4 linked regions of the Pelodiscus sinensis genome follow. The protein of the gene in region 2 interacts with the protein of the main gene of each other region in a biochemical or structural test. Links are inferred from orthologs where the notes say so. Each region holds a gene or a part of one and is shown on either strand. Other genes may lie near its edges. The genes, in order: LRSAM1, UBE2D1, RNF216 and RNF114.

The links.
Region 1: the proteins of UBE2D1 (region 2) and LRSAM1 form a complex in vitro, tested with the Homo sapiens proteins (2 studies listed by BioGRID, with this or other methods). The link is inferred for Pelodiscus sinensis from reciprocal best matches to the Homo sapiens genes UBE2D1 and LRSAM1.
Region 3: the proteins of UBE2D1 (region 2) and RNF216 form a complex in vitro, tested with the Homo sapiens proteins (2 studies listed by BioGRID). The link is inferred for Pelodiscus sinensis from reciprocal best matches to the Homo sapiens genes UBE2D1 and RNF216.
Region 4: the proteins of UBE2D1 (region 2) and RNF114 form a complex in vitro, tested with the Homo sapiens proteins (3 studies listed by BioGRID, with this or other methods). The link is inferred for Pelodiscus sinensis from reciprocal best matches to the Homo sapiens genes UBE2D1 and RNF114.

The regions. Positions count from the first base shown.
Region 1 is NC_134732.1:1,225,399-1,232,329, reverse strand, and holds the start of LRSAM1 (E3 ubiquitin-protein ligase LRSAM1), read right to left. Parts: upstream 3,010-6,931; 5' UTR 2,631-3,009; intron 1-2,630. Other genes in the region: RPL12 (large ribosomal subunit protein uL11), read left to right, coding at 3,472-3,508, 3,775-3,848, 4,727-4,825, 5,662-5,743, 6,429-6,515.
Region 2 is NC_134718.1:33,639,867-33,646,909, forward strand, and holds the start of UBE2D1 (ubiquitin-conjugating enzyme E2 D1), read right to left. Parts: upstream 3,024-7,043; 5' UTR 2,860-3,023; coding exon 2,836-2,859; intron 1-2,835.
Region 3 is NC_134726.1:31,672,510-31,679,589, forward strand, and holds the start of RNF216 (E3 ubiquitin-protein ligase RNF216), read right to left. Parts: upstream 3,013-7,080; 5' UTR 2,878-3,012; intron 1-2,877.
Region 4 is NC_134728.1:19,615,528-19,623,152, forward strand, and holds the start of RNF114 (E3 ubiquitin-protein ligase RNF114), read right to left. Parts: upstream 3,004-7,625; 5' UTR 2,901-3,003; coding exon 2,782-2,900; intron 1,539-2,781; coding exon of another isoform or gene 1,423-1,538; intron 1,196-1,422; coding exon 1,045-1,195; intron 1-1,044. UniProt on the Homo sapiens protein: E3 ubiquitin-protein ligase that promotes the ubiquitination of various substrates. In turn, participates in the regulation of many biological processes including cell cycle, apoptosis, osteoclastogenesis as well as innate or adaptive immunity.

The sequences.
Region 1 (6,931 bases), on a different chromosome or scaffold from region 2:
CCCCAAAGAGCTGTGGAATACAGGGTTGCAACGCGTAACTGAATAGTTTTCTCTCAGAAGAGCTGAGCGTGGAACTGGGTGTGACTGACACTGTGCTGTGTGAACACGGCAGACACTGAGGGAGCATCACAGCACCAGACATTAAGATATATAATATGAAAAACACAGTAATGACACGACATTTATGAACAATGTGGCAGCTTTCATTTCCTTGGAATAACCTCAAAATGGAGCAGTCCAGCAATCACAACGAAACAAGGAGCAGACAGCACCAGAAGCAGAACGAGAGAATTAGGAATATAGTGCCAATCCAAATCTGGCCGTCTTAATGGAAGATAAGTCTTTGTGGAGTGTTTTGTTTTTTAATTGGTGCTCTTTTAACATACTCTAGTGCTCCCAAGCTTTGAAGCTGGTGATTTTCAGCCAGGAGATAGCACATTGCTGACCCAAAGGCTTTTTGGTTTCTGCGTGAAAATCCACCCAAACATGGCTGAGTTACAAGCCTTTGAGAAAAATCCCAATTCACACAGGGCTGAGCACGCTCCAACGTCTCACAACTTTCACCTGTCACTGTGAACAGATTGCCCTTAAAGCCTCCTCACAAAGCAACTGACCAATTCAGGGCTAGAGGGGAAAAGCCGGACTTTATCTGCAGCTCCTGCTCCAGATGAGGGTGGAACGTAGCACTGGAATTGAGAGCCAGGAGCCTGTGTCTCCTGTGTTCCTAAAGACCCCCTTGCTCCTCCGGCTGGCACCCAGGCCGTGTGAAGGAGGAAGATGCCTGATCCAAACACAGAAGGGACAAAAGCTGGGCCCCAGTGGTGGGAAAGGAGTCAACTGGGTGAAGGAGTCAGGGAGACTGAGACTGGGTGGGGAATAGATTGTGACAGGAAGTTAGGGTGAGCCTAGAACTGGCTGAGCAAGGAGCTCAATTGAGTCAGGCAAGGAGGGGAGGCTAGGACTGGTTGGGCAGGGAGGCAGGCACTGGGACTGGGAGGGGCGGCTGGAACTGGGTGCACAAGGAGCCTGGCTGGAGGTGCCAGGGGATGGAGAGGAAAATGGAACCAAGAGTCAGTGAAGAAAACAGAGGGTGGGAAATCTGGAAGCCAGTTCATCTGGCGGGTGGAACTGAGATCAAACGAGGACCACTAACTGTGGTAACCTACCATTTAAATCAACTTTTGTACCAGATGACTGGAGGCAGGGATGTTAATGGTTTACTGGTAAACATCTCCCTTGCTGGGTGATGTCCCCAGTTAACCTGTGGCCTGCCTGGACTGCAGCAGAGCCCTGCCCGACAGGGCACACTGCACTGTGGGTAAGGGATGCTCCAGCCCAACCAGGATAGCCCCCACCTACGGCAGGCCCAGCCTGGATGGAGTAGCATGCCACGGATGAGAGCGCTCCAGCCAGGATGGAGCAAACCCGGCCCACATGGGGCCCCAGCCCGGCCAGAGCAGCAGCGCTGCTTCGCAGGTGGGGGACATTCCAGCCAGGCTGAAGCAGCCCCCCCCCCCCCCCCCCCCACATCAGACATCATCTGATTAAACAGGATTTTACATCCTGAACTGGACGATAGCTAATGTGACACCAATTTTTTAAAAAAAGGTTCAGGGGCAATCCCTGCAATTCAGTACCAGCAAACCGGTTGAAACTAAAGTAAGGAACAGAATGATCAGACACCTGTATGAACAGAATCGGTTGGGGGAGTGTATTCAATAACTGGTTAAAGACAGGGAACAAAGAGCAGAATTAGGGATGTAAAAGTGTCGTCGATTAACTGATAAGCAAAAGCGTATAGGTTAATGCTATGGACTCCATGCATTCCCCCACCCCGCCACCTGCCATCAGTACATTTTTTAGCAGGCTGGCCAGCAGTCCAGCTTAGTTCTAGCTCATGCCAGGACTGGGACCCACCCCCGCCGCGGTTCTGCATTTATATTAGGAGCCAGGCAGGCAGGCACGGTCCAGGAGTTCAGCCCTACCCCAGACAGGTGCTGCTGCCACTCTGCTGCCTCTGTATCAGAGACAGCAGCATGGGGCGACAGGCAGCCAGGCAGCGAGGGGCCAGTCCCTCTTGGACCAGCCCCAGCCTGGCACCGGAGCTGCTGCCTGTGATCGAGGCAGCAGCGTGGAGTGGCGGGGGGCTCCCTGGCGGGGGGGCTTCTTGACGGGGGGGGCTCCCTGGCGGGGGGCTCTTTGGCGGGGGGGCTCCCTGGCGGGGGGGGCTCCTCGGCGGGGGGGCTCCCTGGCGGGGGGGCTCTGGCTGCCGCCCCACCCCTGGGGACTCGACTGTCCCGTTCACCGACTGTCGCGAGCCCGGAGCGCTACCGGCCCGTTTCACACGAGGGCCCCGGGGCCGCGCTGGGCGCTGCCGGCACGTTCGGGGCGAGCCGGGACAGGGAGCGACGGGCCCGGGCCGGGGGGGGGCCTGGCCAGGACACTCCCCGCGCGCCGGGGCCACGGCTGCTCCCCCGCGGCTGGCAGCGCCTCCCGGGGCCGGGGGGGGGCGTTCGGGGGGGAGGGGCAGCCTGCCGGCCGGGCCTGCGGAGCCCGAGAAGACCCGGGCCGGACACGGGGGGGGGGGGCGCCCCCCTCCCCTGAGAGCCCCCGCGCGCGCCCCCGCTCACCGCTCCCCGCTGTCACCAGAGCAACTTCCGGGTCCCCCCCCCCGGCGGCGCTGTCACGTGACTACGCCGCCACAGAGACGCGCGGCCAGAGCGTCCCACTCGCCGGGGGGATGGGCCCGAGCTCCGACAGCGACCGCCAGGGGGCTGCGATCGTGTCACCCCCCGTGCGCGCGGGGTTCGGACTCGGAGGCAGGAACGGCACTGAGGGAAGGGAGAGACCCAGCTCCCCGCTTGGCGGCGCCTCCTGGCGGCCTTGCCCACACCTAACATGGCGGCCGGAGTCCCCCTCCCGCTCGGCCCTTGCCCACACCTAACATGGCGGCCGGAGTCCCCCTCCTGCTCGGCCCTTGCCCACACCTAACATGGCGGCCGGAGTCCCCCTCCCCCTCGGGCCCTTGCCCACACCTAACATGGCGGCCGGAGTCCCCCTCCCGCTCGGCCCTTGCCCACACCTAACATGGCGGCCGGAGTCCCCCCCCCCCTCCCACTCGGCCCTTGCCCACACCTAACATGGCGGCCGGAGTCCCCCTCCCGCTCGGCCCTTGCCCACACCTAACATGGCGGCCGGAGTCCCCCCCCCCTCCCTCTCGGGCTCTTGCCCACACCTAACATGGCGGCCGGAGTCCCCCCCCCCCCCTCGCTCGGGCCCTTGCCCACACCGAATATGGTGACAGGAGTCTCTGCCCACAGCTAACATGGCGGCCGGGGTGCGGCTTTCCTATGTCTCGCGAGATCTCGGAGTATAAGTGGCGCGGTCGGAGGGGGGCTGGTCTCTTCTGCGCGCTGCCCTGGGCCGGAGGTTCGTCGCATCCGTCTCCATCCGGCTCGGGCCCGCGCCGCCATGCCGCCCAAGTTCGATCCCAACGAGATCAAAGTCGGTGCGTTGGGGGAGGTGGGAAGAGGGGCGCGGGAGGCGTAGGGGGCCGGGGAGGGGTCGTGGGGGGGGGGGTGGGCGGGCGAAGGGGGCCGGGGAGGGGTCGTGGGGGGGGGGTGGGCGGGCGAAGGGGGCCGGGGAGGGGTCGGGGAGGGGTCGTGGGGGGCGGGGGGGGGGCTCGTGCTCCCTGCCTTGGCGCCCCCTGGGAGGGGCCACTCTGCTGCGGGTTCGGATCCTGCCGTGCGGCCCCTGATGCTGTCTCTCCCGCAGTGTTCCTGCGATGCACCGGTGGGGAGGTCGGGGCCACTTCCGCTCTGGCCCCTAAAATCGGCCCTTTGGGCTTGGTAAGTGCCGCGGGGAAAGGGGTGACTGGGTCTAGCTCTGGGGCTGGCACGTGCTTCCTGCCTGCTGCTGAAAGCTGCTCAAGGGCAATAATGGGGGTTCAGGCTCATGCCCAGCTTCAGCCACTGGCCATTTAACCAGTGAGTGTGGGTTGAACAGCACATCCCGGGAGGTGGCCCTGCTGGGGCAGGGCAGGGATGGGCTTGTGGCCCTGGTACCTGGGAGGCGTCGCTGCCTGCTCTGGGTATAAGCCAGGCTTTTCTGCTGCTCGCCTGCAGCACACGTGCAGCCGCTAAGATGTTTGGTGGTTACCATGTTACATGATTTAACATCCCTTGTCGAGGGTGATTTTTCTCCCACAGTGAGCTGGCGCCCACCTCGCCCAGCTGCATGCCTGCAGATGAGCCATGCGTTGAGGTATCCTAAGCTAGATACCTTTTTAACTACAGGAATCCACGGAGCCCACTTCCCTCTTAGCTGGCGGCTCTGTGCAGCCTTAGTGGTTAGTGTTTGGCTATTGTCAGTGGATGGAAATCGCTCCAAGGTTTGCCTCTTGTACAATGGTGGGGGGTTATCATAGCTGTGAGTTTACCATCACCTCTGACTGGGCAGAGAGCCAACTTGCAAGACACTGAATTTAGCATATTATTTGTATGACGGGCTCATGTGTGTCCAGCAGTCCCTGCTGCTTCTGCTTCTGGGCTTGTGGCTTGCTCTGCTGGGAGCATCTCTCCATGAGATTGCAGGTAAATGAGTACCTGCTCACACCACTGACCCTGGGTATAGATCATGAAATGTGCATCCTAAATCAAAGAAAAGCATGTTAGGAAAGTCACTCTGACGACGGAAAAATCAATTAAATGCTTGTTCTTGTTTTCAGTCTCCCAAAAAGGTTGGTGATGACATCGCCAAGGCAACAGGTGACTGGAAGGGGCTGAGGATTACCGTGAAACTCACGATCCAGAACAGGCAAGCTCAGGTACTCAATGCCAGAAGGGATGGCTTGGTGGTGGAAGCACCAGGTTTGGAGTACCTGGATTTGCTGGAACCACAAGTGTCAATCCCGGCAGGGTCGACTCAGCCCTTCATCCTTCCGAGGTAGATAAAATGAGTTCCATGCAGTTCTCTGTGTGGGGGTCTTCTGGACGAGACCTTAAAAACGAAGTCCCTCCTAATATCTGTAGGCTCCGGCATGCTGGGGTAGAGCCAAGGCAGGAACTGGCTCTAGCTTGCCATCCAGAGGCAAGTGCATTGCAGTGCAGTGTGACTTGGGGCGGTCCAGGCTGGAGGTGCTGTGTGATGAGTGGAGTGCCTGGAGTCAAGACCAGGCATCAGAGCACTAGTCAAGGTTAATAGAATGGAGAGGAATAAATGGGCTTATCATTCTGTGGGAGTGACAGACGCTGTACTGCCAAGGTGTCTACTGGGAACCGATGTCCGGGGTTCTTTGCCTGAGAATGCCAGGGGGCACGTGGCAAGCCGGGGAACACTGTCTCAGTAATCCTTCAGCTGCTCTGCAGTGTGGCTGTAGCCATGTGCCACCATGCCTGTCTTGTATGGCAATGACCGAGGTACTCCCATGGAGAGCTGGGATGGAGCTGTACATCTTTCCATAAAGAACAGACATGTCCCATACACACAGGAATGAGGGCTCAGGTATTTTCCAGTACGTTCGTTAATTGTGACTGTTTGCATGAGGTGCACAATGTGTTTCGTAGGCTCTGTGGGGCGACTGACTGGTTCTTCTCTCAAGGATTCTGGGTTTGCTTTCTGGCCTCAGTATCTCCTAAAGAGAACCTCTTTCCCCTCCTTCAGATTGAGGTTGTCCCTTCTGCCTCTGCCCTGATCATCAAAGCCCTCAAGGAGCCTCCTCGGGACAGGAAGAAGCAGAAGAACAGTAAGCGTCCCTCTTAACTTCACTTGGTGACTTGCTAAGTAGTGAGCCTAGCCCGGGTCTGATTGGCTGCCACTTAACCTACCTGCGTTTAGGGTACTCCTGAAAAAGGGAGTGTTTGCCAGCCTTGTAGGGCATTTGTTAGTGTCGGGAAGCCCTTCACGTTTCTAAATCTATCTCAAGAGAAAATTACTCCTGGGATGCAGGAAACCGAAATTGTCGGGTTCCTTGTACTGACACAGCTGGGTGCTTCTCAGGCGTGTGACAGTGACCCCTTGCGCACAGCAAGCCTGAGGGTGACTCCCTTTATAAATTAAAGACCTTTTTATATTAACGCTTCACCTCCAGCATTTATAGTGGGGCTTATGGTCTCCAGACGGGGTCATGACCCCCAGTTTGAGAACCACTGGATCAGCTAGCGTTTGTCTGGTCTAAAATTCAGTAAAACAGCCACCTGCCACTGTACCTGTCAAGTATGAAATGGCTGGTACAATCCAGTGGTGCGCTGATAGAAAACACCAGCTCAGGAAACAGGGTTATTCTCTCTGTGGGTAACTCTGTGCCGAAGTCTGGGGACAGAGAATAAACCAAGGAAGGAGTGCTGCTTTCTCCGCTCCCAGGGCTGAGCTGTTGAAGGGACTGGGTCAATGCTCCTCTTGAGACCTCACTGGTGTTTGCTTTTGTTCAGTTAAACACAGCGGCAGTGTCAGCTTCGATGAGATCGTGAACATTGCACGCCAGATGAGGCACAGGTCCTTGGCCCGCGAGCTCTCTGGTAAGCCTGAATTCAGACAGGCCGCGCAACCCCCCATGTGCCTGTCTACCCAGGAGCTGGCCTGCAGTGCAGCTTTGGGCTCTGCCAAAAACTTCAGCCTCTGCTGTACGTAGATTTCCTGGTGAGAAGTGGTGGATTCATGAGCAGTCAGGCAACCTGGCAGAGGCAGAACAGGACTTTTCCCCATGCTCCTGACCCTGTCTCAATGCAGCCTGTTCCTAAGGGCACTAGCTGGGCCTCTGCTGACTGATACCTGGGCATTAGCTTCCTAAAGTACAGTATAAACCAGGGTGGGCAAACTGGCCAGGCCACACCTGACCTGTCAGGACCCAGGATTACCAGTCTGCCAGCTGTGGGTCCATGCTGCTCCCAGGAATGGCTCGCCCCCCCTGCAGCCCTGAGGGTAGGGGAGGGCT
Region 2 (7,043 bases):
CCTTAACCCATCTTTTCTAGGTACAGAATTCCTATCAGATGTCCAGGTTGTACCTTTCAAGTGATAAAGTTGCCAGAGAGAAACATGCTCTGCAGGAAGATCACAACAAGATACCCTGAATTTGAGATGTAAAAATGTATAAAATTAGTAAACATGTAACCAATCAGAAGTCTATTGATTACACGGTTAAATGGGTTATCTAGGAATGTAAGGATAGGGAGGGAAGACTCCCAGGCTATGGGCCGCTGGCCTTGCAGATCCCTCCCAGAATTCAACTGTTAACAGGAATTGACACACTGATGCTTATCAGTTAAACTCTCATATCCCCACCCTAGCTGATAATTAGGAACATCTGTGTTAGTAGCAGATGCATTTCCATTGCAACAGTTTCAGACCTAAGGTGGCATGTAAATGGTGTATTATTCATTATTATAATTTGTATTATCAAATTGCCTAGGAGTCTCAGTCATGGACCAGGACCCCATTGTGAAAGGCACTGTACAAAGGAGCATAATCAAAAAAGACTGTAAAATCTTTGGGGGCAAGACAATCAAAGTTCTGGTCTATGCTTAAAAGTTAGGTCAATATAACTGTAGTGCTCACAGGTGTGAAAAATTCTGTCACTCAAGAGAGTTGGAGATCTTACATTGATGGAAAAAAACCCTTCCATTGCTCTAAGAAGCATCTACACTACAATGCTACACAACAAAGCAATGCACGGTAAACTGTGCTACTGTCATAACTGTAACCTGGACACAAGCTACATAAGATAGGCCCTTACTTCGACTACCAGCCCTTGGACAAAGTATGCAACATTAGGGAGGAAATGATCAACTAAAGTAAAATACAATCTGCTTTACTGAGCAGACCCAATGCGATAGAAAAGCAAACAGATTTAGGAGAGCAATTGTTAGCAATCAGGGGAACAAGATGAATTAAACCAAAGTCTCTCTGACATTAACACAAAACACTGATCCCGTTGAGAAGCAACATGATCTTCTGGCGGTTAAGTGTTGAGAAACATGAACTCTCAAATTCTAATCTCAGCTCCTCCACTGATCTGCTATGGAACCTACCAATAACTGGCCAGACCAGAATTAATGCAGTTTTGGAAGTGGCATTGAACACAGTTTTTCTTTGATTACATATCAACTCAACTACATTCAGCATCAGTCTAGTTTTATTTCTATTGTTGACACTTGCTGTCAGTATCACACAGTATTTCCCTTATATAGCCTAGGATGTGAAAATATAACCGTGTAAATGGTTAACTGATAAACCTGGGCTCATTGGTTAACATTCACTGTTACATAACAAAGTGGGTCTTTGCCCACAAAAGCTTATGCTCCAATACATCTATTAGTCTTTAAAGCGCTACAGGACTCTGTCGCTGTTACATGCAGGTTCCCATCCTGCTCCTGGGGAGCCAACTGCTTTCTTGCGAGTCGGCTTTTAAGAGGCAGCAGTGCAGAGGCAGCTGCTGGATCCCATCCACAGCCCCACTCCCAGGGTGTGTCTAGACTACATAGCTCCATCGACAAAGCCATGTAAAGTAGTTTACTCAATAGTCAATGAAGCAGGGATTTAAACAATCCCCATTTCATTAAAATAAAAATGGCCACCGCGCGGTGATAAAGTGAAACGAGGCATACCAGAGCAATCAACAAAGGCTTCCCTTGTCCACCGCGCCATGTCTAGACTGCCATGTTGTGCCGGATCAGCTGATTGTCAGCACAGCGTGGTGGCCATTTTTATTTTAATGACGCGGGGATTATTTAAATCCCTGCTTCATTGACTATATCGAGTAAACTACTTCACATGGCTTCATCAACGGAGCTATTTAGTCTAGATACAACCCCAGAGAGCCAGCTGCTGCCTCTTAAAAGCCTACTCCCAGTGCACACCACCTCCCAAGGAACCACCTGACTCCCCAGGAGTGGGATGGGAACCCACATGTAACCGTGAATATTAACCAATGAGTCCAGGCTTATTGGTTAACTGTTTACATGGTTATACTTTCTAGTCGCTAGCCAATACAAGAGGAATACTGTGTAGTACTGAAGGCAGATGTCAGTATCAGAGGCAGCAATACAAGGTGGTAGCTGGCTCCCCAAGGAGCTGAGTGGCAGGCAAGAGCCAGTGCATGCCCCATACACGGTTACTTGCAACTGCAGTAACTGCTGAGATTTTCAGCTGTTAAATGTTTATCCAATTACCTTCTTTTTAACATCCCTAGTATAGGCAAGCCTCCTCTTGGTGCCTCAGTTTCTCCCACTGTAAGGTAACTGCAACTCTGCCCACCTCACTTGGGCCTTGTGAAGGTTAGTGTATGCACAAGGTTATACTTTATCCAGACTGTTATGCAGCTGCACAGCACCATTCCGACAGGGTTCTACAGGCAATCCTCCTCCAACCCACAGACTGGCACTCCTTTTCCACGGGGTAAGAGGAACAAAGAACAGTCTCCCAGAAGCAACAAACCATCAATATCCCCATTGGTATGAGCAAAGACACGAGAACCTCATTACTCCGAGGAGGAGAAACACAGCCAAGATTTCACACCCACTGCTCTACCCTCCGACACCGGCACCACAAAGTTCTCGCTGCCCATTGAGCCTCTCTTCCCCTGCAATCCCCCTCTCCCCTGCCATCAGCTTCCCTTCTAGTGGGGCCTCCCTTCCCCCAGCGCCCCTCTGCCTGCACGTCTCCTCTCCCCCGGCCGCTCCCGAGCCCCCCGGCCGCACAGCTCCTTCCTCAGCGGCCTCCCCCGGCCGCGCTCCCCCCGGGGACCCCAGGCCCGGCTCCCCCGGCAGGGCCCGGCGCGGCCGCTCTTACTTTCTGTATCCGCTTCAGCGCCATGGCGGAGACACGCTCCGGCTCGGGGCTCTGCGAGGCGGCGGCGGGCGGCTGCTCCCCGGCTGGGTGCGCGCAGTCGCTCCGGGCGGGGGCCGGGCTCTCGCAGGGCGTCAGGGGCCGAGGCCGGATCCGCTTGGCTCTCACTCGCTGGCTCTTTTGTTTCCGCTTTTACTTATAGACAGAGCCCGGAGCCCGCTGCATGCTGGGAAATGCAGTCCCGGGCGGGAGGAGGCGCAGCGCCCCCTGCAGTCAGGCCGCGGAGCCAGCAGGCCTAGGGAGCCAGCTGACTGCCCGAAGGCAGAAGTGGCAATTGCTGGCTGCTGCAAGACGCTACAGCAGGGCTACTCAACTTTGGAGGCCACAGGGACAACGTTGGAAGCCCCTCAAGCTACATGCTGAGGGCCACAACTTCAGTGTGGTTGCATGCATATTCAAATATATGCAAATAGTTTCTTTCACACTGACAGGCATCAATACAAAGACTAAGGCAAGATTACAGAACACACAGGCCCATTTAAGTCAGTTCTGCTGATATTAATAAAATGCAATATTTACTCGATTTCCACCCATATGACAGCACTTTTAGGGTACATCTACACTGCACTGTTATTCTGGAATAACAGCTGTTATTCCAGAAAAACAATACTAACATCCACACATCAACTGGGTTATTTTGAAAGAAAATCAAAATAAAGGAAGGCTTTTTCTGACGTTGGCAAACCTCATTCCATGAGGAATAAGGCATCTTCCAAAAAAGCTCTTTCAGAAGAGGGTTTATGTGGATGCTTCAGTGCTGCTATGTCGAAATAACTCCTCACCAGGGCCATTCTAAGTTTTTCCTCCCCAGTGCCTTCTGGGGCTCTAAACTGAGACAGCGCATCCACATTAGGGGAGCCTGCCTGCCTTGGCCTAATTTGGAGGCTTCCCTGTAGTATGGACACTTTATTTCAAAATAAGCTATTCTGGAAGATATTTTCTATAATAGCTTTTTTCTGAAATAAGCTTGCAATGTAGACATACCCTTAATGAGCAATGACAGTCTAGGAATTTAACTACTAAAATGCATATCAACAGAAGACCATTTATTGACTTGCCATTGTGGAGCATGTTCCCAGTGGATGCCATGTTCAAAGGATCCCACCCATGGGCTGCGTGATGAGCCCTGTGTAAACCCAAACCGCACTGCAGGCCACATGTTGAGTAGCCCTGCCCTTCAGCCTGAGATCAGAGGTTAATGAAAGTAACTTAATATTTCTTACAGGTACTGTCATGTGGCATTCCCTTGGGGAGGGGTGTGATCAAGCTAGGAGGTTGCGATACAATGGTATCTGAATGAAATGTAAGTGTAGAGGTGGAGTGCAGAGAGCTCAGGGCAGAGTTTCTGATATAGGAGACTCAGACAAAGCCTCCTGCTGCTTCCATTGGCCAGATTCCAGCCAATGGGAGCAGCGGGGAAAGCCTCCAGGAAGCATGTCCATGCTCTGATGTTCCCGCAGCCAGGGAAAGGAAAGCGCAATGCACGCAGCTGCTTCTGGCTCTGCTTCTTCCCCACGAGCTTGATCTGGCAGGGAGGCTTCGGGCTTTCTTTCCCCCTCCTCCTGCAGGAAGATGGCACTGGAGATTCAGTCTTGCGGTGGGGAGGGGGGAACATGAGGTTGGAGTTGCCAGCGTGAACTCTCTGCTGTGAGGAGGAGGGGCTGAGCTCCAGCAGCAAAAGAGCCTTATGTGGCTCCCTACTGAGCAATATTTGGCTAAGGAGGAGGTTGCCAACCTCTGGTTTACAAGGTTGGGGGTGGTTGAGGAAGGGCTCAGAGCAGGGGGTTGTGGTTGTGGTGGGTGAAGGAGTCAGGGTTGTGGGTGTAAGAAGGGGCTCAGGACAGGTGAGGTATGTATGTGCAGGGGTATTGCGGGGGTCGGAGGAGACATAAGCCAGTCCCTTTAATCTGCCTAGCTGACTGCTGCTTAGTGTGGCAGCCTACAGGAGAGCCCCAGGATCTAGTCTAGTAGTCAAGTGCCCCAGCCCACCATCTCCTTCATAACGGAGCAGGGCATAGAAATGCATCATCTTAACTACCTCTGCCTGGGATTAAAGCAAGGGGTAAATTCAAAAGTAGAGATACCTCTACTCCATGATCATTTCTCCACCATAAATAGATATGTGAAAGGATGCAAAGGGCATATAACCTTAAACCCATGGTCACCAACCCGTCAATCGCAATCAACTGGTTGATCCCGGAGGCTTGACCTGTTGATCGCGAGGCTTTGGGGTCCCCCCTCGCTATCACCCTACCCCCAAGATGCAGGCCACACTGATGCTACTTCCAGGGACCATGGAGGTAGCGCGGGCTTCCTGCGGGGTTGGGGGGCAGTTCTTCAGTTGCGCACCAGGTCCTGGAAGTGCTGCTCTCCCCACTGCCCCAACAGCCGACGTGGTACCTAAAATACAAGTCCATCGTGCGCTGGGGACTTTGTTCCCCTGGTGCCTTCCTGCGCATGGGGGAGGGGGTGGGAATCCAGGACTGCGCTGGCTCCGGCTGCTCAGGCGGTGTGCGCTGCTGTGCAGAGCAGGGGAGCAAGGTGTGTGCTGCCCAAGGAGTTGGGGCTGGCGCAGTCTGGGACTCCCCCTCTCCCCATGAAGAAAGTCATCAGGTGTGCAATGGACCAGCGTGTCAGGTACCGCACCGCTGTTTGGGAGATGGGGGAACAACCTGCGCACTTTCTGGGCCTTGGCATGCAGCTGCAGGATCCTCAGGTATCGGTCCCTGTCCCCTCCTTCTCACCCAGACCCGCACGAATACCCTGCCCCAGCACCCACAAGCACCCTGTCCCCTGCACCAGTACCCATTGGTACCCTTCCCCAGAACCCTGTCCCAGCACCCACAAGCACCCTGTCCTCTACCCCAGCACCCATTGGCATCCTGCCCCAGAACCCACTGGAACCCTGTCCCCTGCCCCAGCACCCATTAACATCCTGCCCTGGCACCCTGTCCCAGCACCCACAAGCACCCTGCCCCAGAACGCTGTCCCGGTACCCACAAATACAGTTGGGGCCACATTAGTGAGGTTTGAGGGGTTTGGAGGGGTTGTGTTTTTGTATCTCATTGTATGGTCCTGACTGACTTTTCTGTGGGCCAGTGACCCCTGACTCAAAACAGGTTACCCACCCTTCTCATAAATAAAGACAATGCTGAAACCTTTTGTGTTTGACATAATATTTTATTTAAAAATGAAGCCTGGCCAACAAGCCCCCAGTTGGGGCCAAGTCCTCATTTGGCCACAGCATCATAACACTCCTGTACCCCCCACCCGACTCCAAATCTGAGCCTATCATACACTGGAACCTCCTGTCCTGAGCGCCTCACATTCCCAAACTCCTGCACCTCCACATCCTCAATCTTCTGCCACAACACTCTTGCACCATACACACACTGCAAATCTGTGTCCTGAGCCCATCATACTCCTAGCCTCTCTGCCCTGAGTCCTCAACCCTAACTCCTGCACCCTCACATCCACAAGCTTGTGGCTTGCTCAGCACCCCAACTCTCCACCTGAGCCAGCACTCCCCAGCCTGGAGCCCCCTTTCTGAGCCAACATCCCCTTCTCCACATCCTCCTGCATCCAAATTCCGTCCCAAAGCTTGCACCTCTCACTCTTTCCCATACCTAAATCCCTCATGCACACCCTAGAACCTGCACTTCCTGTCTCAACACAGTGAGGGTATGGCTAGACTGCAGGAGTTTTTCCGGAAAACACGCTCTTTTGGCAGCCCCTGTATTCCTCGTTCCACAAAGAATGAGGGGGTTTCCAAAAGAAGGGGGTTTTCCGACATTTGGCCCAGTCTAGATAGGTCAAATGTTGGAAAAATTTCTTCTTTCTTTTTTTTACTGCCGAAAAAAAGCGACAGTGTAGCCGTAACCTGGGAGTGTAAAAGGGTCATGGATAGCAAGTGATGGAGAGAAGGGGAACAGAGAGGGCTGGGCCTCAAGGAAAGGGGAGGGGTTTGGGGAAGGGACGGGGTAGATCTTGGCTTGTCCTGACATTTAAAAAGTTATCTTGGGTGTAGAAAGGTTGGTGACCACTGCCTTAAACCTTATCATGCTCCCACCAAACATATTGGGTACTTAAGTTGCATTTTTTCCCTGTCTTCTTAATTATGGAACTTTACTCAAAAATTCCAAATGGACCTC
Region 3 (7,080 bases), on a different chromosome or scaffold from region 2:
CAGAAGGCAGGCTTCAGCTGGACACTGCTTACCACAATTGGCTTCTGGATGGTGGTGCAGGGGACTAAGGCAGGCTTACCCCTACTCTGGCCCTGCACCACTCCCAAAAGCAGCCAGCAAACTCTCTCCATCCCTGGCCCCCAACTCTGTGGAGCTGGGGTACAGGGTGGGAGGAGGGGCACCCTGACATGAGCACACACAAACCCTTCTTCCCATGTCCTGCACAGCAAGCAAGAGGCTCCCAGGGCTGAGGGGCAGCTCCAAGGCAGAGGGCAGGAGTAGCAGGGCAGTGCTGAGAGGGGCAGATGAAGAGCTAGCACTTGATAGCTTCCTGGCCAAACCTGTCAGGATCACCTGTCAAAGGCTCCAAGATCTACCAGTAGATTCCGATCTACTGGTTGGTGACCAATGCCCTACAGCTAGTACCCCTCCCCCTCCATATGGCACTATACAACTGTCTAGGAGGAACAGCTAAAGATTTGTGTCAGTGGAGTAGCGGATATCCATTCTGTTCCCACACAGCTATTGAAGATTCCAGGGGACTAAAGGAAGAAAACATTTAGACTCCAGTTCCTCCACCAGCATTGAGGGACAAGAGAGAGACTTCTAGGCATGGGCATAAGGTAGAGCATATTGATCTCTATTCACTGAAGTCCATCTTCTCCCGGAGAGCTATGACTGTCAAGCTGCTACTTGCTACAGTGTCTGAGGAAGGGTAGGAACCACTGGAACAGAGGACACTTAAAGAACCAAGATTCTAGGATGGGAAAGTGTGAAGAGAGACAAAAACAGATTCAAAATTGCTTGATTTTAGCAAGAAGATTCAGTTTCTTTCGAGTAAAAAGCTAACTATCACAGCTATTTGGATCAGAGTGGAAACATTCAGAAATATCACCACCACCTACTGAAGAGAGTCCTGGTGAAAGACACCAATAAATTAAGTTGTAGCCCTGAAGTATTCCACACTTTCTTCTAATAAAGAATGTGAGCGTGGCTGGAGCATACTTCTCATTTTATGTAAACACCACCAAAAGCTATCGGATGGAGGAGTAAGACAACATTTAGTTTAAAAAGAAGTTGAAATTTCACCCAGTTTTGACAGAGAAAAAGAGGAAATGGACTGTTTATTTTTTGTACTGTAGGTATTTTTTAAGTAGGCCTATTTTAAGATTTTTTTAAAAAAACTGAAGCTAGTCTATAGTTAATCTAAGCACATACAACCTTTCAGACATTTACTAGATACAAGTGACGTGACCGTGATTAAGGTGGAAATTTTTAAAAGGCACAAATGACATAAGTGCCCAATTCTCATTAGCATTTTTGTAAAATCTGCCATGGAACTCTTAAGAAAGATGGCTCACAGTAGTAAAGCTGGCAGACCTATATTACTACTTTCCAGGAACACCCACAGTGTCTTCAGTGCAATACCAACATAAGAGGTTTGAACCTGAAAAGCTTATACTCTATATTAGATTGGATATATCATACTATAGATGCAGTTTTTGAATTTTTTTTCTCCCCCATTGACACTGGAAATAAGATACAAGTCTACTTCCAATTTTCACTGCTTTTAACTGAAGAAGGGTCTGACTTTAAAATACAAAGCTTCATGTTATCTTGAGATGACTGTTTTGTTTTAAACCTGGACCGTGCCAACAAAAGTCTGTCTACAAGAGGTGTAGCTCCAATGGCAGCAACTGCAGAAAACTTCACATAGGACAGTGCTTCTCAAACTGGGCTGAGACCCTGTTTTAATGGAGCTGCAAAGACTGGCTTAGACTCGCTGGGGCCAAAACTGGAACCCAGAGTGACAGCAGTCAGGTTACGGCTCCCTACCTGGGGTTGAAGCACTAGGGCTTTGCCCTTGCCCCCCTGCCCCACCCCAGGGGGTTGGGCTCAGGCTCCTCCTCATCCCACAGAGGCAGGGTGTGAGGATGAGACTTAGGCTTCAGCCACACACACACACAGCCATGTAGTGATTTCTGTGGTCAGAAGAGCTTCACAGTGGAATGAAGTTTGAGAACCACAGGCACAGGCCAAAACCAACCATTTTCACCGTTGTATCATCGATTACCACAGTGGCAGAGCTCTTACCACACCGGCACATCGCTTCCACAACGCATGGAGCTAGCATCTGAACCCATGTCCCCTTTAAATGAGAACCTCGGTGAGCAGCCAGGTTGTGTTTTCCACAGTAGAAGCTCCTTTCATCCCTCAAGCTTCCTACTCTGCCCGAAGCCTGCCTTCCCCCCCAGGAAGCGGGGCGAGAAGGGGAGGACAGAACTTCATGTACTTCTGTGGGCTGGGCCGGACCCGACTCCGGCGTGGGGCTGTTCTAGCGGCTCTCCAAGTCAACACGCCCGCAGGGCCTAGCCCGAGCGAGGCTGGACACAACGACACACGGGGGCTGGGAGCTCGGGGCAGGCGGCCCGACGGGGGGCAGGCGGCCCGCGCTCACCAGCTGCGCCGAAGCAAACCGGGGCTCAGCCAGAACAGCGCGGGGCTCTGAGGCGAAAGGGCAGGTCCTGCCCCTGGGGGGGGGGCACGTCTGTTACAGGCGCGCTATACAGGCAGCACCTCCCCCCACCCCACGCGCCGGCTTCGGGGACGCCCGGGCCAGAGGACCCATCCCCACGGCGACGCCCCCCGGCCCCTGCCCGGAGGGGCGCGAGGGGGGCGGGGCTGTGACGTGCCCAAGGTCACAGGGCGAGCCAGGTGCAGGGCCGGGCACCGACCCCAGGAGTCCGGGTTCCCCGCCTCGCCCCCTTGGGGCCCAGCCCCGGCGCCCTCCCCACGGCTGGGGCGGGGGTTCCGCGGGGGGAGGGGCTGGACGCCCTAGGGGGCGCGGCTCTGCCCGGGGGGGGGAGGGGTACTCACCAGCCCGGGCCGCTCCGCCATCTCCGGCCCCCGCTTCATTTGGCCGCCGCGGCCAGGCAGGCTCCTTCCGGCCCGCGCCGCGCCGCGCCACGTGACCGCCCCTCCGACCATAGAGAGGAAGGGCAGCGGCGAAGGGCGCTCAGGAGGGGCCCGTCGCCAGTTGCGCACCATAGAGACGACTCGGGCTGGTCCTCCCGCGCCCCCTACTGCTCCGCGGGTGAGAACCCGCCTGCTCCGGCGCGGGGTGGAGCCGCTGCCGGGAGGGGAAGGGGGTGGAGCTTCTGCGGGGGAGGGGGAGGAGAGGCGGAGCTTCTGCGGGGATGGGGCAGGTCCATGGAGGGAGGGAGATTAGAGCACTAGTAATAAGGACCAGAGGGTGCAGGGCAGGCAGCCTCAGGGCTTTGGGCTGGCCAGGCATAGGTGGTAGCATTGCACCGCCCTTCTGCGCCCCATCAAAATTGTAATTTGTAAAGGGGGTACCCCCTCCCCTGAACTTCTCCCCTGTCACCAGGGTCAATCTGGTGCTGAGGCCACATGGTGAAGAGACCAACATGGGCCATTGAATGGCCTGCAGATGTACCATAAACTGCCCCCCTCAGAACAGGGCGAGTGCAGGGCCCAGCTATATCCACCTGAGATACAAGGGGGGGAGGGTGGCCACTGCCTGACCTACAGTAATGGTCAGTGGGAGGAATCCAGCAACGGGCTGCTTCCACCCCTGACTGTCGCCCATGATCACTTCAGCCCCAAGGGGGTCCCTTGCTAGCCCTTTGCACAAGGGTGAGCTTCCTCCCCACAGAGCAGAGGTTCAGTTCCTAGTTGAATATGGGTTACAGCTGTGTGTGTGCGCGCCAGTCCTTTGTTTCAACCACATACACTGGTGGTAATCACATTAGGGGCTAATCCCCTTGAGACACTGGACTGGCTAGAAGTGATCCTATCAGCTCCCATGAAAACAATACAAACTTCTATCTAACTGCATGCTTACTGGAAGAGTACCATATAGGGAAAAATTACAGTAGCTTTAAAACAATTGAAGATGGTGTCAGGTAACAAAATCAAAGAAAATAAAACTGAAATTAAAAAAAGAGCAGTCAGTTTCTACAAGGTCAATCCACTAGTAAAATAATAGAGTTCAGCTCCGCCCCCCTCTTCTGGGCTCTGCTGTGCTCCCTACAGTCCCGTCCTATTGCCTTCCCAGGGCAAGCTTAAGCAAGCTACTCCACCTGTCAGTGCTACAGTTGTTATCTATAAAAGGTGACCAATTATATTGAGTACTATAAAAAGCTTTGTGATCTACTGAAAGTGTTATATAAAAGTAGACATTATTACATGTTAATCACAGAAGTTAATAGCAAATGGCATTGCTACAATACAGTAAAAAAGCAACCTTAATTATTAGGTAACTTTTGACTCTACAGGCTCAAGGTGATTCTGAATTAGCTTTCTAGTTGTTTAGCTAGTTTTATAGCTCACATACCCATAGTATCTAAATGACTAATATTCAATCCAATATATATATAACTGATTCAATTAAGATGAAAAGAACAGAGAATGTTTTCCCTCGTTTACCTGTATGGAAGAAATAAACCCTGCTATCTGCATGACCATACAAGGTGCAAAGCAGTAAAGAATCAGGCTCCTGGAATGTAACAGAACCACAAATGGATCAAGTAAGGATTCCTTGTTCATGAGCTTTCCTGGGCAAAACCCACTTCCTCAGAAGAGCAAGTTTTTCACCTCTGGATAACTCTGTTCCAGAGCTTAAATGTGTAGTTGTAACTCACCTACTGGGTGTGCTTCACTGTCCCATGGAGTGGCATTTAGACCACTTACAGAGACAGAGACAGAGAGAGAGAGAGAGAGAGAAAATGAGTGTGCTTTACAGCCTTAGCTGAATGCCAGCTGGCTCATGTGCTAAATTCCAGAGGTCCCAGATTTGGTTTCACCTGTCAGTAAAAGTAAATACAGTTGCTTAAAGCAACATAATCCACTATTCTGGATTCAGAAAAGACTTGGGCTACGTCTAGACTGGCATGATTTTTCGGAAATGCTTTTAACGGAGAAGTTTTCCATTAAAAGCATTTGCGGAAAAGAGCGTCTAGATTGGCACGGACGCTTTTCCGCAAAAGCACTTTTTGCGCAAAAAAGCCCCGATCGCCATTTTCGCGATCGGGGCTTTTTTGCGCAAAACAAATCTGAGCTGTCTACACTGGCCCTTTTGCGCAAAAGTTTTGCGCAAAAGGGACTTTTGCCCGAACGGGAGCAGCATAGTATTTCCGCAAAAAGCACTGATTTCTTACAGTAGGAAGTCAGTGCTTTTCCGGAAATTCAAGTGGCCAGTGTAGACAGCTGGCAAGTTTTTCCGGAAAAGCGGCTGATTTTCCGGAAAAACTGGCCAGTCTAGACACAGCCTTGGTGTAAATACAATTGAGCACTGTGGCCTGGATGGATGGATGAAAGAAAGAAAGAAAACTTGTGAAAGTCAAGTCAATATGTTGAGGCAAGGAGCCAATGACAAAGCTTCAAATCAGAATTTCATACAAGGTGCAATGCAACAGAAACTGCAGTTTCCAAAGGTTCACCAAGTAGAGACTGACTCAAAGAGTGCTAAAGATACATCAGATGAAAAGAGGGGGAAACATTTACATGTATAAAATGTCAGGCTGGAATTTATTATTTGTATTCCCACAGCATCCATGGTCTGCAATCAGGGAGCAAGGCCCCATTGGACAAGATGCAGTACAAACAAATGGTAGGAACACAGCGCCAGTTCTACATTAACGACAAGAACAAGGCTTCAGGTGAGTGCTGCAAATAAATTGGTTGGAAAACCGGATAGGCTATAACATGTTCACATGACTGCTAAAACTAACTGTGACAGGCACAAGTCTGAAGTTTCTGATTGATTTAGATGCAGCTGTAAATCTGGTAGTTGGCCACACTATGTTCATCTGGATGAAAGGAATAAACTATCACCAAATAAATAAATACCAAAAGATTTTAGAGTATGGAAATTGTAAGCCATTATCGAGGCTGGGCTTATGCAAAATTAAAGTGACAGAGTAGATCAGCCGTACACACTATATGTAACACTGCAAAAATCATCAGGAAACCTGCTTGAATTTATATCCCATGCCATTAACAATGGGTCCAGTGGACCACTGGCTTATCCATGCCTGCCAAGGGGAACCCTATCTGCTGTCAAACCATGGAAAGAAACATGGCGATTGTACTGAGGATTGAAGAACTCTTTCTTTGATACTTGGATGGAAATTCTCTGAGCGTTATTACTGATCAGTAAGTCCTGGTAACCCTATTTCAAAATCCTAAGGCTACAGAACTGAAGGCGCAAACACTTTTGCTGTAGGACACAAAACTGTAGGGCAAAGCGGGCAGTTGCCTTGGGGAGCAGAGATTCAAAAGGGCCCAGGTTCCCAGCCACCACCACTGCTGCCACAGGAGTGGTGATGGCCAGAGCCCTGGGCTTTTTAAATCACCACTGGAGTGCCACACGGCATGTTCTTGGCAGCTCTGAGGGCAGCCTGAAGGAGGACGGTGAAGCCCCACCCCTTCCACCTGAGACCTGGCCCCTTCTCGGAGCGTGGCACTGCCCCTTCTCCCCCGACCTTGCCCCAGGGCATGACAAGTCTGTCGGAGGCCCGGGCAACACAGCTTGTAGAGCTGCCCAACAGCCCTGCAGGTCCTCAACCCTGTCCTCTGAAGAGCGCACTGGCGGAAGGTTCCATGTAGCGATAGATTCACCAAGCGTTCCATTGCTCCCAGCACAGCAATGTCCAGGAAACCCTGCTCAGCTGATCTGCACAATGCACTGGCTGGGCACCACGCTGGATTACTCTGAAAAATCCTGCCCCCACCTCCACTGCACTGAAACGAGGCTGGTCCTACTGCAACTAGAAACTGCCACAACTGGGAGTCCAATTTTTCTTCTTGGGGGATTCTGACTATTGCTAATGAGATTTCCTCATGGAGATTGACAGCTGAATATGCCCCCATGTGTCCAATCCCCTTGCTTTCCCCTTCCCCATGGCTACTTGTTAGCAATTAGCCATCCAGCCAATGCACAGCATGCAACATTGATCACATCATTTCACTGGGCTGTGGCAGAGTTTCTTTTGCCTGACTTTTTAGGCAGGAAGTTGAGCTAATTTCCACAATCAAATGCTTTGCTTGGAGTGGGGA
Region 4 (7,625 bases), on a different chromosome or scaffold from region 2:
TCATCAGCTTCATGTGAACTGTGTATTTGTACCTGAAATCTACCTATTAATGAAAAAACAGCAGCAACAGGGGAAAGGGTATCATTACCCTATATCATGTGGGGGCAATAATTTTTAATGGGGTGGGAAGTGCGAACTCCAAGAATTTGGTAAGTGATCAAAGGCTGCGCTTTTATTATAGAAGGAAATGTGGAGTCTGAGTCAGAATTTGGATGCAGAAGGGAGTTTGGGGTAGGAGGTTGAGGTGTGAGACAGGGTTATGATATGGGGCAGAAGCTTGGATGCATGGTCTGAGAGGGGGTATGGGTGCAGGAGAGGATTCTGGCCTGGGGAAAGGGTTTAAGAGGGGGTACAATGGCCTGGGAGGGAGTTGTGACCTGGACAGTTGGGGAGAGGGGGCTATAGAGGGTTAAGCTGGTGACCCTATGGCAGGAGGAAGTGGTGGCCTAGGACAGGTAGTTGTGGGGGAAAAAGAGGGGATGGGATGCCAGAGGCAGATTCTGGCTGAGAGGCTCTTACCTAGGTGGCTCCCAAACAGCAGCCCTGCAGAAACTGGAGGCAGGCTGTCTGCTGCTGTCCCAAGCTGGTCAAAACACCTGGATGCTCCATGTGGCTCTACTCCAGCATGGGGAGGGTTCACATGTTGCCCCTGCTCCCAGCAAAATTTCTCAGCTTCTGTTGGCCGAAAACTGGCCAAAGGCAGTTGAGAGATTTTGCTGGGTGATGGACTAGCAGGAGAAGCCTCTATCCTTCCTCACCAGTGTCCAGAGCAGCCAGCCATTTAAAGTGGCATGAGCTGCTCTGTGCCTAAGGGTCCCAGCGAGGCAGCTGAGGGCCAAGTCTGGTGGTTTGGCACTCCAGATCCAGCCTGCAGGCCGCATATTGCCCACCCCTGCCCTATATGCAGTCCGTGCAAATTATTTATCAAAACTAAAGTTCTGATTGTTTATTCCCTAGAAAGCTGATGTGCAAAATAGTGCATTTCCATGTAAGCTGTTTGCCTATTTTAACTATATATGTACTTCCTTTTTTGTTCTTTCATACTTTTTTATTGCAGCCATCACAAGTGGTTTCTGTCATTTCAATTTGCTTTTCCAGGTCCAAATCTCTACTGCCAGGAGAGAGGGAACTGCGGCAGACTCCACAGACTGGCTTAATAGGCTTCAGACATTCCTGCAGGCATGGAGTGCAAAAGCTAATATGGGAGAAATACGATTTGTAAAAATGCATGTTGTAGAATATACGTGTATTGTTCCCATTAAAATAGAGACCTACTCTAAAAGAAAAAAGTCCCAAGTGACAACACCCACTGACAAATAATCTGTTGATACGTGTGTTATACTAAAGGACAGCCAAGTCACTGTAAATCTAGTCAATTTAAAAACAGTTTCAAGTCATGTCCCTGTCCCCGAATGCTCTTACCAATTTGTGGTTTATGCTACATTTCCTCTTTTCAAAGTTTCTCTTCACTGTTTCCAATAGAAAAATCCACACAAACAGCAAAACCCAATGATTACATAGAGAAGCTAACCAAAGTGCTGTCAAACACACAAAATAAACAAACTGAAAAAATATTCTTTTCATTTTTCATTTTTAGTAATCTGAAATATAACCTGTAAAAGTCACCCAACTATTCTCCCTAGATGCATAAAGAGAAAGAAGGGGGCCTTAGCTTGCTCTGCAAAACCCTTTTCTTTAGGCCCCCCCTCCACCCAAGAACTTGAAGGCGATGTACATTGCTCTTTCAATGGTACATTTCACCTGAGAAAAATGTCATGTTAGAAAACATTAACTAGACCATTTTAATGGACTATTGCGACAGCAACATTGTACTGTAGAAAAGGAAAGCAGTGTGATTAACATAAGGCAGGTCTAACCTTAGGGCTTATTTCCTCTTAGAAGCCTCTCCTGTGAATTTTACAGGAAAGGAGGGCATCTTGTCCCAGCAGAGACAGAACTGTACTTAAGTTTCACTTTAGTCACAGCCAAACAGAGAGCTCATTTTGTAAGAAAGCTGTCTACCCCACCCATCTTGTCGGTGTCCCACTCTCAGCCCTTCTATCCACAGCTCAAATCACCCACATTTTATCTAGTGTTTCCATAACACTCACACCACTGCACTGCAGATGAGCCCATATACCTGAAAATAAAAAAGGCCAAGCTTCTTCCTTAGCCCATTCCACACTTCTCCTTCACCAGCACATGCTGCCGTCAATTAAATTGGTTCGCTTTCTATTCCCTCTCTGGTACAGTTTCCCAGAATCGACCGGCTGGGACTCCACCCTTTTCTAGCCATGGGAAATCCCGGCACTCACTGCTATCCATTTGAACAGTCGGATTTTCTACCAGGTGCTCAAAAGTGATCCCTCTAGGGCCCAATCTTTCAGGGCTTGCTCAGGAAAAGCTCCCCCCGCAACGAAATGGCCTGTGGCTTTGAGCCCCAATGGGGCTAACGGGCTCCAGGAGGAGGATTAACAGGTAGCGGGGGAGCGTTTCTCGGGAATCCTACAGCATCAGCAGACCCATTTCTTCGCAAGGGCTCAGGCCCGCTCCCCAGGCTGGGGGGGGGGGGGGTGTGTGGCGGGGGCCCACACGGGAACCGTGCACTAGTGACAACTCCGTCCTGGCGCCTCCAAGTGCCCGCGCCTAGGCCCCACCAGTCGTGCCCCCCGCCCTCTCGCGCGCTCAGAGGGGCCCCCCCCGCCTCAGGGATCCGCCCCAGCCCCGATATCACGGAACCCTCCCGTCCCGCGCTCGGCCCTCCCCGAGGGGTCCGCTCACACATGGCCGCAGGGGGCCCGCATCGGGCTCTCGAACACCTCCAAGCAGACGGGGCAGGTGAAGCGAGACAGCGGGTCCTGGAGCGCCGGGTACCGGGAGCCGCTCTCTACCCCCGCCATCTTCCACCGGCCGCTCGCCCCGCACTTCCGCAAAGCAGCCCGGGCGCCGCGACGGCGGCCCAAAGGGGCTAGTTCTCCGCCACGCCCACTCCGAGTGGGCCACAGGGCGGCGGCCTAATCCGCACGCGCAAGACAGCAACGGCTTCTGGCCACGCCCCCTCGCGGCTCGGACACGCCCCAGGACGGATCGAGTTTCTTCAGCTCCACCCACAGCTGGCCAGGGGCCGTACTGCGCAGGGCAGGTGGGTGGGGCGAGAGCTCGGTAAGGAAATAGGCAGGGAGGAGCCTGAGCAGAGCCAGAGCCACTCAGGATATAGTGGGCAAGTGGAGTGGCCAGGGGACAAAACTGGGCGGGAAGTGACTCAGCTAAGGAACATTTGGGCAGGGAAGTCACCGTGCATGGGCACAGGCAGGCAAGTGCATGGCCAGGCAGGAGAGAAAAGGGCTACAACATGGCATAGATGCAACCAGCCACTGATGGAGTTGCTAAAATTTGCTCCCTCCTTGCCTCTGCCATATATGGAGTGATATGTGCCTTTGGCTACACCTTCCACCTTCAATAATGCAATGTGTGTACAGCTCATGCAGTGTTGATTATAAATTCACTGTCCATTTTGTTCAGCCCCATGGTCCGAGATGTTAAAAATTGCAATTTTCATGATTTCAGCAATTTAAATCTGAAATTTCGTGGTGTTGTAATTGTAGAGGTCTTGGCTCATAAAGGAGTTGGGGGGAGATCACAAAGTTGCGGTGCTACTACGTTTACTTGTGCACTGCTGTTGGCAGTGGCGCTGCCGTTAGCATGGCAGCTACAGTGCTAAGAGCCCAGCTCTGAAAAAGCAGAGCCACCATCAGCAGCAGTGCAGGAGTAAGGATGTCACAAAATGGTGTTGCCACCCTTGGTTCTGCAACACTGCCTGCAGAACTGAAGCCCTCAGTAGTTGCTACTCTCCAGCTTGTCCAGCTCTGAGGGTGGCAGTGCAAGGATGGCATGGTATGAACTGCCACCCTTACTTCTGTGCTGCTGCTGGCGGGGTGCTGCTTTCAGAGTGAGGTGCTCTGAAGGCAGCACAGAAGTAAGGGTGAAAATACCACAACCCTGGTAAAATAACCATACAACTTCTCTCCCACAACTCCCTTTTGAGTCAGAACTCCCAATTGAGAAACACTGCTCTCCCTGGTGAAAACTTTATAGTAGAGGGTAAAAGCAGACAAAAGACCAAATTTCACAGCAGGAGACCAGATTTCACTGTTCATGATACATTTTTCATGGCTGTGAATTTGGTACGTCCCTACTTACTATGGCAGCACTAGGACTTAAGTGGTGCCTTCCCTCCCATGTGACCTTTGGTGGAAAAGTAACTGCAGAGAGGATGGAGCCATGTAGACTCTAGCCAGCAGCCAAAGCAGAGACCTTAGACATTTAACTTCTTTGTTTTGAGTGGCCTTTCTCTGCCTTGTGGAGATTGTCTCCTTGCTGTAATCCTCTCCCTCACAGTCTGTTCACCTCTGCTTTACACCGCCCCTGCCCCCTTATAGGGTTGCCAGATGGTTTCAACAAAAATACCAGACACACTTGACGTTACATCACAATCTACATTACATCTTATTTAGAAAATACTGGACATTTATATTTTCTCAATTTGTTTCCTGAACAGAAAGCTCAAATACTGGACTGTCTGATTCAAAACTAAACACCTGGCAACCCTACCCTCTTACCATCTTCTCCCCGGCCCTGTCGCTCTGCACTTTCCTTTCCATCCGCACTCCACACTCTCCAAAAAAGGTGGCCCTTAAGTGTTTGTTGCCCTCATATTTTTCAACCAACTTGTGTGGTCTACCCCTTCTCCCATCCTGTGTCTGTCTGATCTATTTCCATTGTAAATTCCACACTGCCAGGGACCATTCATTACACTGTATTTATACAGTGCCTTGCCCCATTATTGATTGATCTTTAAATATTACTGTCATATATATGATTAATAATACTAATTAATAATTAGGACTGAGGTACTATATACATGTAAAATTATTATAATTATTATGAGAACACATCTCTGCTGAAACAGCCTGTACTAGAAATGTGTAAATGACACACAAGAGATAGACACTGGAGATGGTTAGAAACTGGGGTTGCACATATAGTCTTTAATTGTATCGGGGTTGCTATATTAAGTGGAGGGAAACGGTGCAGAAGAAGGGGCTTTAGTTTAAATAGTTCACAATATGACTGGTTCAGTGAAAGGAGTTCAGCCCCATCTCTTCATACCATCATCCTGTAATATAGGGAGGTAAACAGATGACAATACACTGGGGATGTAAATTTAAAACAATGCTTTCTCCCGTGGACAGCCAACTGCAGCAGGAGGAGATCAAAGACTGAAACAGAATCTTGACTTTAATACAAGCTAGAAAATACGGACAGAAATATATAGCAATGCTAAAATAGGAATGCTGAGTCTTATGCTTCATAGTTTAAATTCTTCAGTGCAGGACACACCCTGTCATGTCATATACTGACTAAGTTGTGTTATTGGTGAGTTTCATCTTCCTCTGAAATGGCAGGCATTGGGCATTATTTGTCTATCACCTTATGAGTTACAATTTCATCCTGTAAATCCTTTTTCACTGCACAAAAGGGAACATAAGGCTGCTGCACTGCAGTTAAGTGTGAGCAGCAGCTATGTGTGGGTGCAAGTACTAAGCTCTGAGAGCCAGACTGTAAGCCCAGTGAAGTCACTATTTGAACCCAACGGGGTAGGCGGGTGCCAGCCCACCCACTTCTAAAAGCCCCTCCCCCAGCCTTGCAGGAGGGACAACTGGGCCCAGGGCTCAACTAAATACGAGGGACAAATGATGAAAAACAGGGTCAAGTGGTGCGGGTCAAAGGTTTAAAATGAGGGAACCGGATGGGGACACTGCTCCTCAAAGCTGTTTATGGAGCCAGCGGACACTGCCTAGAGGAACTCTGCCTAGATATGTGACACAAGGGTGGAACGGAAGTAGGCCCCACAGTTGCAGAGCACCCCCTCATCCAGCATTCTCCCCCTGGTATTATATATTGCGGCTTTTGCCAGAGCCAGAGGAGGTTGGCAAGGAGGTCTTGTGACTTTGTGGGGCCATGGATGGGGTGCGCATAAATAAAAAGGTGAGGGGAAAAGTGCAGCCAGACCCTCAGCAATAGGTTCTGGAAGAGCTGGAAAAGGGGCTGCAACCTGGTGCATTCCAGATATTCATGCACCAGGTTTCCCCTCACGCCGCAGAAGGGGCAGGCGTCTGGGACGGGGGTGAACTGTGCCAGGTATGCACCCATGCTCATGGCTCCATGGAGGAGCTGCCAGCTGATGTCCTCAATGGGATGTGGGATTAAGGTGGAATAAACACTGGTCCGTCGGGATTCCTTACCTTCAACTGATCTTAAATAATCCTGCCATTTGGTATCGGAGCGGGACACGAGGGTGAGGAAATGCAGTGTGTGGAGCATGAGCGTGTACAGATGGTCTCTGGAAAGGCGGGCCATGAAGGAAAGGCGGGCTGCCAATGAAAAGACACCCATTGACTGGAATGGGCTTTGAATCAAGCCCCAAGTGTAGCCCTGTGGAATGAGCAAGTAATAAGCATCAAGCCGCTTGCATGTCTACCCCATTGCCACAGTGCAGGGTAAAAAGAAGCAATGCTGGGGAAGAATGAGCACATCTGAAGATCTCAAATAGCATCTTTACCACTCTCATGAAATATTTTGTCAAATGACCTTTGAGCTTTAATTTTGCTATTAGGAAGTTACTTGTCAGCCATGCAGAATCACTATCCTTAGTGCAGAACTGGGTTCCCCTGAGTACTCATTACACTTCCATATGCAGCATTTCAGCTGAGAGATACAGGATCAAGTTTTTAAGAAACAGATTGTCTGATCCGGTACAGTAACTCTTTTGTGTTAAGGAGGACTTTTCAGAGGAGTAAAGTTCTGGAAAAGCCTTCAAGGGGAGCAAAAAAACCTAACTGGCTTCAAGACTGAGCTTGATGTTTATGGGGAGAGGGGATGGTACAATGAGACGGTCTACAATGGCATGTAGCTGATCTGCAACTGCAGGAAATATCTCCAATGGCCTGTGATGAGACACGAGATAAGGAGGATTTTGAGTTACTACAGATAATTCTTTCCCATGTGTCTGGCTGGTGGGTGTTGCCTATAGGCTAAGGATCTAACAAGACTGCCATATTTTGGGTCAGGAAGGAATTTCCCCCCAGGTCAGAGTAGCAAAGATGATGGGTTTTTTCTCTTTCTCTACAGCACAGGGCACAGATCACTTGCAAGTTTAAACTAATGTACTGTAAACTCTCTGTAACTTGAAGTCTTTAAATCATGATTTGAGGACTTCAGTAACCCAGTCAGAGGTTGGGATCGATTACAGGAGTGGGTGGGTGAGATTCTGAGGCCTGCAGCATGATGGAGGTCAGATTAAATGATCATGATGGTCCTTCCTAGCCTTAAAGGAGGTGTGAGCAATAAAACAGTGGTGGTTGCCAGGGTTAGCCCTTGGCAGGCTGCTGCTGCTATATCTACCTGCGCCTCCACAGATACCGGCAATCGCACCTCCTGCTGCCCGCGGATGGCCGTTCCCAGCCAGTGGGAGTGGCAGGAAGTGGTGCAGACTAGGACACTGCTTCCTGCAGCTCCCATTGGTTGGGAACAGTAATCTGTGGACAATGGGAGCTGCGATCGCC